2 linked regions of the Oryctolagus cuniculus genome follow. The main gene of each other region encodes a partner of the protein of the gene in region 2 in a complex. Links are inferred from orthologs where the notes say so. Each region holds a gene or a part of one and is shown on either strand. Other genes may lie near its edges.

Evidence for each region.
Region 1: the proteins of SRC (region 2) and PTPN1 are in contact, whole or in part, in a crystal structure (PDB 3ZMQ), measured with the Homo sapiens proteins. The link is inferred for Oryctolagus cuniculus from reciprocal best matches to the Homo sapiens genes SRC and PTPN1. Residues at the interface, in NP_005408.1 of Homo sapiens: Glu527, Gln529, Tyr530, Gln531, Pro532; in NP_002818.1 of Homo sapiens: Arg45, Tyr46, Arg47, Asp48, Val49, Asp181, Phe182, Ser216, Ala217, Gly218, Ile219, Gly220, Arg221, Ser222, Gln262.

The regions. Positions count from the first base shown.
Region 1 is NC_091442.1:10,308,457-10,313,543, forward strand, and holds the start of PTPN1 (tyrosine-protein phosphatase non-receptor type 1), read right to left. Parts: upstream 3,395-5,087; 5' UTR 3,247-3,394; coding exon 3,184-3,246; intron 1-3,183. UniProt on the Homo sapiens protein: Tyrosine-protein phosphatase which acts as a regulator of endoplasmic reticulum unfolded protein response. Mediates dephosphorylation of EIF2AK3/PERK; inactivating the protein kinase activity of EIF2AK3/PERK.
Region 2 is NC_091442.1:21,176,720-21,181,010, forward strand, and holds part of SRC (proto-oncogene tyrosine-protein kinase Src), read right to left. Parts: intron 2,772-4,291; coding exon 2,739-2,771; intron 2,037-2,738; coding exon 1,938-2,036; intron 1,825-1,937; coding exon 1,721-1,824; intron 334-1,720; coding exon 184-333; intron 1-183. UniProt on the Homo sapiens protein: Non-receptor protein tyrosine kinase which is activated following engagement of many different classes of cellular receptors including immune response receptors, integrins and other adhesion receptors, receptor protein tyrosine kinases, G protein-coupled receptors as well as cytokine receptors.

The DNA of each region.
Region 1 (5,087 bases), about 11 Mb from region 2:
GGGCCGCGCACAAACCCTGGAGGAGGAATGCCCAGCTGCACGCGACCCCATGGGTCTGGGGGCCTCAGAGAGAGGCCCTGCACTCTCCCCCAGCCCAGCAGGAAGCGTGCCCACAGGAGCTGCCTCTGAAAGAGCCAGCAGGCAGACAACGCTTTTAAATAAAGACAGGAAAAAAAATGCACAGGCAGCCGTTTCCACGGGTGACAGCCTGGAACCCCCACAGCAGAGTTCTTACTCACGCCTCCAGGAAACTCAGCACGCACTCGCTCACGTTATTCAATACCAAGTCTTCTTTGTTACAGGTTTTGAGGACGCACTCCTCAGAGATGCAATGGCAAGCGGAGCCAGGATCCCAGGGCCGACAACGGGCAGCTGAAGCCCTGGGCACTGCCAGTGCCCCGGCTGGCGTTCCAGCCTGCCTCCTTCCCAAGTTCCCACACACCAGGACGCCCAACGGCGGTGGCAAGGGGCTCTTCCCGCCACGCTTCCTCCTGTGCTCCCTGCCTTTTCCAAAGCGGGAATCCGACACCGCAGTTCAGTCCACTCAAACCGGGCTGCAGGGGAACCTGGAGTCCAGCGGGCCACGCGGGGTGGCCAGCGCTTCCCGACCCCTCCGCGTCACTTCCGGCTGTCTTGTTGCTGCTGGTGTTTAGCTAAAATGAGTCATGGTTTATAGATCTTTCTCCTCTGCCCAAAATGCAAGTTCTCTCTTTCCCCTGAAGAGAACGGTATTTAAACAAACATGGCTGGGCCGCTTCGACATTCATCTTCTTGGAACACCCCCGGCTGGAGACAGTGGAAGGCGTGTTAGTGGAATTACCGTCCTGACGTGGTTTGAACCTACTGGGGCAGTAGGCTGTATTTCAGTGCGAAAGCCGCCCTGAGGACAAGCGCCAGTTGGCAGAGTGGCCCCTTTTACAAAGCCTGCCTCTACCGTGGAGCCCATCTCGCCTGCAAGTCACGATCCGTGTTGCAATCTCCTGTATCTGAAACAATCAAATCATTCACGCTGCGCAGCTGAGGCCGAGGACAGCGTCAGAATCCGCGCTTTGAGAGAGAACAACAGGCAACACCTGACCCAGTCCCTGCATCTGCCGGTGCCGACGCTCACCCCTCCCGCACGGCCGGCCCCTCGCACCAGGACGCTCCCACTCTCCAGCGGCGACCGCACGTCACGGACATGCCAGAGCGCGACTCTAGTCATCCACGCAGGCCGTCACGGCCGCCTTCACGGACCGCAGGGCGAACAGCAGCCTCAAAGGCCCGCGCCGGCTGCTGCTCCTTCCCGCGGAGCTGGCGCATCTCGGCCCCTCCCACCGCGCCGCCCCTGCGCCCTCCCCATCTTCGCACCTGAGCAGAGAGAGAAACGAGTGCTGTGCTCTTTTCCACAGCTGTGAGCGGGAGTGACGCGACGTCTCTCACCGCACAGGCAGGGCAGGCTCGGCTAACGGCTCAAGGCTGTCCTCGCCCACCTACTATAAATCCATGCCATAAAATGCTATTTTTTTTAACTTCTATTTTCTACCAAGTGTAATAACGTTTCTTTGAAATCCTGAAACATAGCGGTTTTGGTAAACGGACACACACCGTAGAAGTTAGCTACTCTGGATCCAAAGTCACCTGAACTGTTTTTAAAAATGCCACGGTTGCACGACCAGCCACTTTTACCCTAAAAAGAAAGAGGTTTTGATTTCGATTTTAGAAAAGAACAAGTCTCCACAGCAGAGGTGAGAAAAACCCACAATGATGATTCTTCAAGATCAAAAGATGATGCATCCCTGGTTGTGGTGATCCATCCCGAACCAAGACCGAGGTCTCGGCTGGCTCGCGGGGTGACGCGGGGTGGACACTCAGCGGGGAAATCCCCGCAGAGCGGCACCGCGCTCGCGCTAGCACCTCCAGCCCGGAAGGCAGCCAGTCTGCTCGCCAACTCCCACATCAGATGTGGCCGCGACTGTGTAACGTCAACCTGCAGAGAGCTCAGCCTGCTTCAGGATCAGAGCTCCCCCTCACCCCGAATGTCTACACCCGTGACGAGTTCAGAGCTTCCCCCTGAATGTCTACACCCGTGACGAGTTCAGAGCTTCCCCCCGAATGTCTACACCTGGGATGAGTTGTACCGTAATCAGCTTCAACGCTTCAGATGCAACAAATCCACTCAGAGCCGCTGCAGACCCTCTCCGAGCCCCGGCTGGAAGGCGGTCATAGCTCCCGAGAGACCAGACTCGCACGGTCACACAGATCACAGCCGCTATAAACGCGAGTCCATCAGGTGCTGGCACACATGGCAGTGTGCATGAGAGGACCCCAGCAAGCACGCTGTCGTCAGCCAAGCCCACCAGAGACCTCGACACCCCGCTGATGAGTCTCCCAGTTCGCCCCTGGGCCTGGGAGCTGCTACTCCCTTCACCCGCCGCGCCCTGCCCACGGCCACCCGGCAGTGTGGCTCCGCTCAGCCCTCTCGGCCCCGCAGTGGCATCTCACGGAGAGGGCCTCTTTGTGTCTGCCAGGCAGAAAGCCTAGCTCCCGGGGCCCCGCGTGGGCTCCTCGGCCCGCCGGCCCCTCCCCGCGCGGCTCGCGGCGCCCGTGTCCCCGGGCAGCCCGCCCCCGTGCTCTCCGGAGCCGCCCGTTCCGATGCGGTCCTCGGCGCAGCCCTTGTCACTGAGGCTGTCCGCTCCGGTCCGGCCTCTCCCGCGGGGCTCAGCAGCCTCCATCCCCGGCGCCCGAGCAGGTGCGCGGCCCGCGACGCGGCAGCCGGCTCACAGCCCCGGGCGAGGGGGCTGTCACCCTGGGCACCGGGCGCGCGCGGAGACCACGGCGGGAGGAAACGCGGGGAGCGAGCGCGCAGTAGCCCCGTCCCCAGCGAGACAAAGGAAGGGCGTCCGGGGTGGTCCGGGCCAGAAGAGGAAGCCGCAGGGGGGCCAGTCAACCCCCGGGGCGGGGCGGGGCGCCCACCGGCGGCCTCCGCGCAGAGGCGGCCGCGCCGGGGCAGGGGGCGGGTGGCGGACCCGAACGGGCTGCGCGGCCCACCCGGGGCGCACAAAGAGAGCGGGGCGGGGGGCGGCCCGCGCCGCCGCCGGCTCGAGTCCCCCGGCCCCGGAGCGAGAACGGGGCCCGGGCGCCCGCGGGGAAGGCTCACGCGGCCCCGGCGAAGGGCCTGCGCGCGCCGGGGTGCTCCCGAACCTGGTAAATGGCCGCCCAGCTCCCGGCCTTGTCGATCTGCTCGAACTCCTTTTCCATCTCCATGACGGGCCAGGGCGGCCGCTGCGCCGTCTGCCGCTCTAGGCCGCGTCGCGCTCCTCGCCTCGAGGCCCGCCGTACCCCGCAACGCCCGCCGCTACCGCCGCCCTAGCCGCCGCCGCCGCCGCTGCTTCTTCATGTCAACCCGGCAGCCGGAAGTACGCACAGCGCCTGCCGCCGACTCCGCCTCCGCAGCGAAAGGAGCAATCAGCGCCCGAGAATGTCGGCCAGCACTTCCGCGGGGCGGGTCCGGGGGCGGGGCTCCGGGGACGTCCGGCAGGGAACGCCCTCCTCCCGCGCGAGGCTCGGGGCTGGGGCGTGGCGCGCGCGCGTTGCCTCGGTGACCGCGGGGTCCCGCGAGGTGCGGGCGGAGCTGGGGCTGCCGCGGCGGCGAGGCGCGCGCGGTGAGTCAGAGTGGGGCCTGGGAGTCGTCCCGCGTCTGCCCTTCAGTGCGGTGTGCGGGGGGCTGGGCTCTGGCCGATGGCCGCCCCGGCTGCTGGCGAGGGCCCGGCCCTCGAGCGGTAGTGTCCCTGGCCGAGACGCTAGGAGTGGGCGGGTGGGCGTGGGAAATCCCGCGGGCCGCGTGGTGGACAGTGCAGCCCGGCTGACCAGGGTACCCGTTCCTGGAAACAGCGGGAAAGGCTGGCCGACTGGCCGCTTGGCCACATCCAGGCCTGGCTTTGCCACGGGGACATTGTGAGGGCCACGGGCTGGGGGGGAGCCAAGCTGGAGGGCCCGTCCTCTGACCCCTGTGCCCATGCCCACGGCCAGCCCGTGCTGCCTGGCGCTATCGGTTGAATTCCAGCTCATTCCTTGGGCGCCTGGGGCAGGCGCTGGGCCTGGCGTCCCGAGGACGCGCTCGGGTCATCTGCGCGCGCACCCCCTGGAGTAGGCACTGCCAGCTCCAGTTCTGGGGAGACGGAGGCGCCGGGAGGGAGAACCACCCGTCCGGAGCAGCACTGGATTCCCGCGTGCGTTGGGGCGGGCTGCCTGGGTCCAAATTCCACCTGGGCCACAGCCTGGGGGAGCCGCAGGTGACCGTGCATCTGCGCCCTCCAGGCCCTCGATGGGTGATGTGCTAAAAACCAAGACTGGGGTACAGAATGCTGTTGGCCTAGCGGGGAGCCCAGGAGCTCAGCCCAACAGCAGCAGGCGGGCAGGTGGACGGATTCACCTGCATCTGCATTGCTGGGCTCTCTGGAGGCCTCTCTTGAAGCCGAGGGCCCCACAGGGAGAGTGGAACAGAGGCGCTGGTCCAGGCGAGAGCGGCCTCATTTACCTCCTGGCCCCGGGAAGGCCGTGGGCTGCTCCTGCCCCTTCCATTCGCGAGTGCCGGTTTGTCTGGGACTCACCGCGATGAGAGCGCGGGCGGACAGAGAACAGACCTGGTTCAGTCCTGTCGCCGTCGTACGCAGAGCTGATGGGTAAATAGATCAAGGGCCCGTCCTGAGCCCCAGCGGCCCTCACGCCTGCAGGGTGACCGGCTCCGCCTTTGGGGCCACAGCTGGTCACGGTGGAGGCTGCTGTCATCAACTACTGCCGATTCCGGGGCTTCAGTTGGCAGAGTGCATCCTCTCGCAGTGCTGTAGGCCAAAAGGTGGGAGTTAGGGTGTCCACGGGGCGTCAGCCACGTGGGGGCAACTCCTCCGGCCCGGCGCCGCCGGCTCCGCCTGTCTGCTCGCTCTGCCTCACGCCGACAAGGACACCTGCCGTTGTGGGGGCCACCCTAATCCAGAACGGGCGATCCCAGGGCGCCCGGATGATCTCAGCTTGAGATCATGAAGTTAACTGTACCTGCAAAGACTTCTCACCCAGGCACTGGGTGTTAGGACTTGGCCGTCCCCTCG
Region 2 (4,291 bases):
CCAGTTCAGACCAGTCCTGGGGCTGCAGAGACCCAGCCCCTCCATCCCCTCCCCTCCAGGGCAGCCCCTTCCTCAAGGGCAGCCACAGAAGGACATGGGAGACAGGGAAGAGTGAAGGGCGAAAGGGAGGGACAGAGGACAGCAGCCTCGAGGGCTGCCCGGAGGCGGCGGCCGTGCACTCACTGGAGTAGTAGGCCACGAGCTGCTGCAGGCTGCTGAACTGCGTGCGGGAGGTGATGTAGAAGCCGCCGCTGTCCAGCTTGCGGATCTTGTAGTGCTTCACGTTGAGGCCCTTGGCGTTGTCGAAGTCCGACACTGACAGGCAGTAGGCACCTGCAGGGGGCGGGCCGAGGGGAGGCAGCACCGTGACCGCCATGCCCGCCGGACCTGCACCCCTCCCGCCCCAGGACCCCAGCACCAAGCACTGTGCTGGGGCCTGCCTGGCACTGGGCCCGGGGAGGCCAGCCCATGGCCCACCGCCGGGAAGACAGCCAGACCTTGACAAGCTGCTGGGCCTCAGTTTCCCTCTCTGCACTATGGGGGCATCCTCGGGGCTGTGGGGAAGTCAAGGAGACCACAGAGCAGAGGGCCTGGCACAGCGGGCACTCCATGAAGGTTTTCTGGGAGTCTGGGAACGGCCCCCGCGGTTATGCGCCCCTCGCTCCCAGGTTTGCCCTTGGGGACACAGTCCACGCCCGGCCCCTTCTGCAGACAGGTCAGGCCCAGGCAGGAGACCACGTGCTGTGTGTGGCCAGACGGTGGCCCTCCTGGTGCCCAGCCTGGCTGGCAGCCCATGCTACCCTTGCCCAGGAGATGCCTGGCCGGTGTTGGGGGCAGCACTGGGTCCTGGGGGCAGAGGCCTTCTCTGGGGCCTGGCAGGCAGTTCCCGGCCACCGAACTCCCAGGGACGCACTCAGGCAGGTAACACCCGCGGTGCCAACACAGCATGCGGCTACCCCCGGTCGCTCGGTGAGTCAGGACCGAGCCGGGCCTTGAACCGCCTCCTGAGTGTCTTGTGACTTTCTGCAGGTGGCCTGGGCCAAGGGCAGGCAGGAGCAGAGGCCCGAGGCTGCAGCTGGCAGTGACCGCCACAGGTGTGTGCACACGCACATGCACACACACACAGGTGCACACACCTGCTGGCACACCCACACCCAGCAGCCACACACTCCCCAGGCCCCCAAGCGTGAGGACGAACCCACAGTCCCAACCTCCACATGTGCACACACACACACATAGGCACACACCTGCACAGGGGTGCCCACGTGTACAAAGCCGCCTGAGGGCTCAAACGCACACACCTGGCCTGGATGCTCTGCCTCCCTCCTCCCCTCCCAAGGAGGGGCGGGGCCAGGACTGGCCAGGGAAGGCCGAGGCCGGCTCCCAGCACTCACTGCAGCCCCAGAGGCCCCTGGGGAAGGGGAAGAGAGGGCCCCCTGCATCCGCACCCATTCTGGGAACAAACCTGTGCTGTGACACTTGGACCTCATGACAACCTGGGCCCGTCCTCATCTGATGAAACTGAGGCCACGGAAGTCTCGTCTCTCCTCTTGCTGCACCCCGTCTCCCACCGCTGACTTAGACACGCGCCTGCCTGACTTCTGTCCTGCCGTTTCATCCTCTTCCTTCTCTACCCCCAAACTCCTATTCATTCTGCAACACCCAGCCCCAAGAACCCACAAAAGACTCAGCCTCTGCTGGCCAGCAGGAATGCTGCTACCTTTCGTGGTCTCACTCTCGCGCACCAGGAAGGTCCCTCTTGGGTTTTCTGCATTGAGCAGTAACCGCTCCGACTCCCGCCTGGTAATCTTGCCGAAGTACCACCTGGGGAGGGAGGGACGAGCGGTGAGCAGTCCAGTTTCCGCCAGCCCTGGACCCCTCAACCTCGCCCAGCAGTCCAGGAGCAGTGGTGAGCAGACGCCCAGGAAGATACTCACTCCTCGGCCTGGATGGAGTCGGAGGGCGCCACGTAGTTGCTGGGGATGTAGCCGGTCTGTCCCGTGCTGAGCGAGTGGGCCAGCCACCAGTCTCCCTCCCTGCACAGGGGAGAGCACGGAGCCAAGGGAGCCGTCAGCAGCCAGCCCAGGGCCGCTGGCTTCCTGCAGTGAGCGAGGCTGGGACCAGGGGAGCTCTCGCATTGCCCCATGGAGCTGGCCTGCAGCCCCCCTCCCAGGCCAGAAGGCAGCCAGGGTCTCCGTGCACGGAGCAGAGGCCAGGCCTTTCAGAAGGGCGCTCCTGGTCCTCGGGGGCAGGCAACACTGGAATGGGAGAGAAGACTCCCGCCCAAGAGGAACGTCAGGTTCCACCCTCCGAGTCTCCCCCAGCCCTGAGGTTCAGAAGCCAGACGCCAGGAGCTGGGGAGACCTGGGTGGAGGCCAAGGGGCACCCTTAGGGGCAACCCAGGCCCCAGCCTGCAGAGCAGAGCAGTGCTTGCCTGTCACAAACCATGGCTCACGCCTACAGGGTCCTCAGCCGCAAACTACAGGCCCCTCCTGCAGCCTACCCATCTGCCACGGGAAACTGAGGCCAGAGGGGGCAGCGACTTGCCCAAAGTCACACAGCGATCTCGTCAGAGGGGTCGAGGTGGCGCAGCCCACTGCCCAGGCCCCTTCTGTACTAACTGCCCCAGGAGGAGGAGGAAGAGGAGGAGAGGAGGAGAGGAGGAGAGGAGGAGAGGAGGACGGGGACAGGGGCAGGAGGAGCCCTGGGACCTGGGGAGGGGGTAGGGGCGGAAGTACCTTTGCAGCCATCTGAATGTGAACCAGGTCTGGCTGGAGCGGGGGTCCAGAGACACAGAGGAGGGAGGAGAAAGCGAGAGCCCGACGGGAGAGAAGAGGCAGAGATGGGGGTGGTGAGCGGCAACGAGTGGCAGAGAGAGCGAGGGAGGGGGCAGAAGAGCCAGGCGGGGCTGGGGACAGAGACGGGGCAGCCACAGAGGCCTCGCATCCAAAGCAACCCACAGGGCGGGGCTGGGAGGTCGATGGGCAGGGCAGCCCGGGGACTAGGGTTCAGCCCCCATCCTATTCCCACTGTACAGATGGGAAGACTGAGGCCAGGGAAGCAAAGCACTCTGCTCAAGGTCACACAGCCAGCCCCAAAGGAGGAGGACCCCTCCCTACTGGGTGAGGAAGGACCTGACAGTCTGCTGAGCTCTCGTCAGTACAAGGCTGTCTTGGACGTCACCTTGGCCCTGAATGACGCCGGCAGGATGCGCCCACCGCCACCGCCACACAGAAATACAGAGGCCCCTCGCCTGCAGTCACACGGTCTCCACTCGAACCAGGACCCTTACTCCCAGCTTCTCTGAGCTGCCCCTGGCCATACTCTTCGGCCCGTGTTAAAGATGCAGAAGTTGCGGCCAATGCAGTGGGGGAGGGATAGGGCATTTGATGCACTAGTAAAGATACCACTTTGGGATGTCCACATCTCGTATCAAAGTGCCCAGGTTCAAGTCCCAGCTCCACTTCCGAGTCCTGCTTCCTGATAATGCACCATTGTGGGTGGCAGCAGCTGATGGCTCAGGTGGCCGGGCCCCTGCTACCCACAGGCGAGACCCAGATGGAGCTCCCAGCTCCCCGCTACCCACAGGCGAGACCCGGATGGAGCTCCCGGCCCCCCGCTACCCACAGGCGAGACCCGGATGGAGCTCCCGGCCCCCCGCTACCCACGGGCGAGACCCGGATGGAGCTCCCGGCCCCCCGCTACCCACGGGCGAGACCCGGATGGAGCTCCCGGCCCCCCCGCTACCCACAGGCGAGACCCGGATGGAGCTCCCGGCCCCCCGCTACCCACAGGCGAGACCCGGATGGAGCTCCCGGCACCCCCGCTACCCACAGGCGAGACCCGGATGGAGCTCCCGGCCCCCCGCTACCCACAGGCGAGACCCGGATGGAGCTCCCAGCCCCTGGCTTCGGCTCAGCCCAGTTCTAGCTGTTGTGGGCATTTGGGGAGTGAACTAGCAGATGGAGGATTTCTGTCTCTACCTTTCAAACAAATAAAAATGATAAAATTTTTTAGAAAGACAGTACCAGGCTGGAGGACTCTCTGAGGACTCATGAAGGGGCAGTGAGCACCCCAGGCCCCGGGAAGCCCCGTGTGTGGAGCAGGGTGTAGGGGCCTGGCCTGGCTGGGGCTGGGCAGCCTTGCATAGCTGTGTGACAGCTGCTTGCACACTCAGCTGGGTGTGAAGCTCTGGAGAGAGTCTTTGGGGGAGGAGAGGGCCCCAGAGGAAGGGGCAAAGCCCCCTCCAGGGAAGGGACCTTTGGGAGCCAGAAATCACCACCCGCCTCCC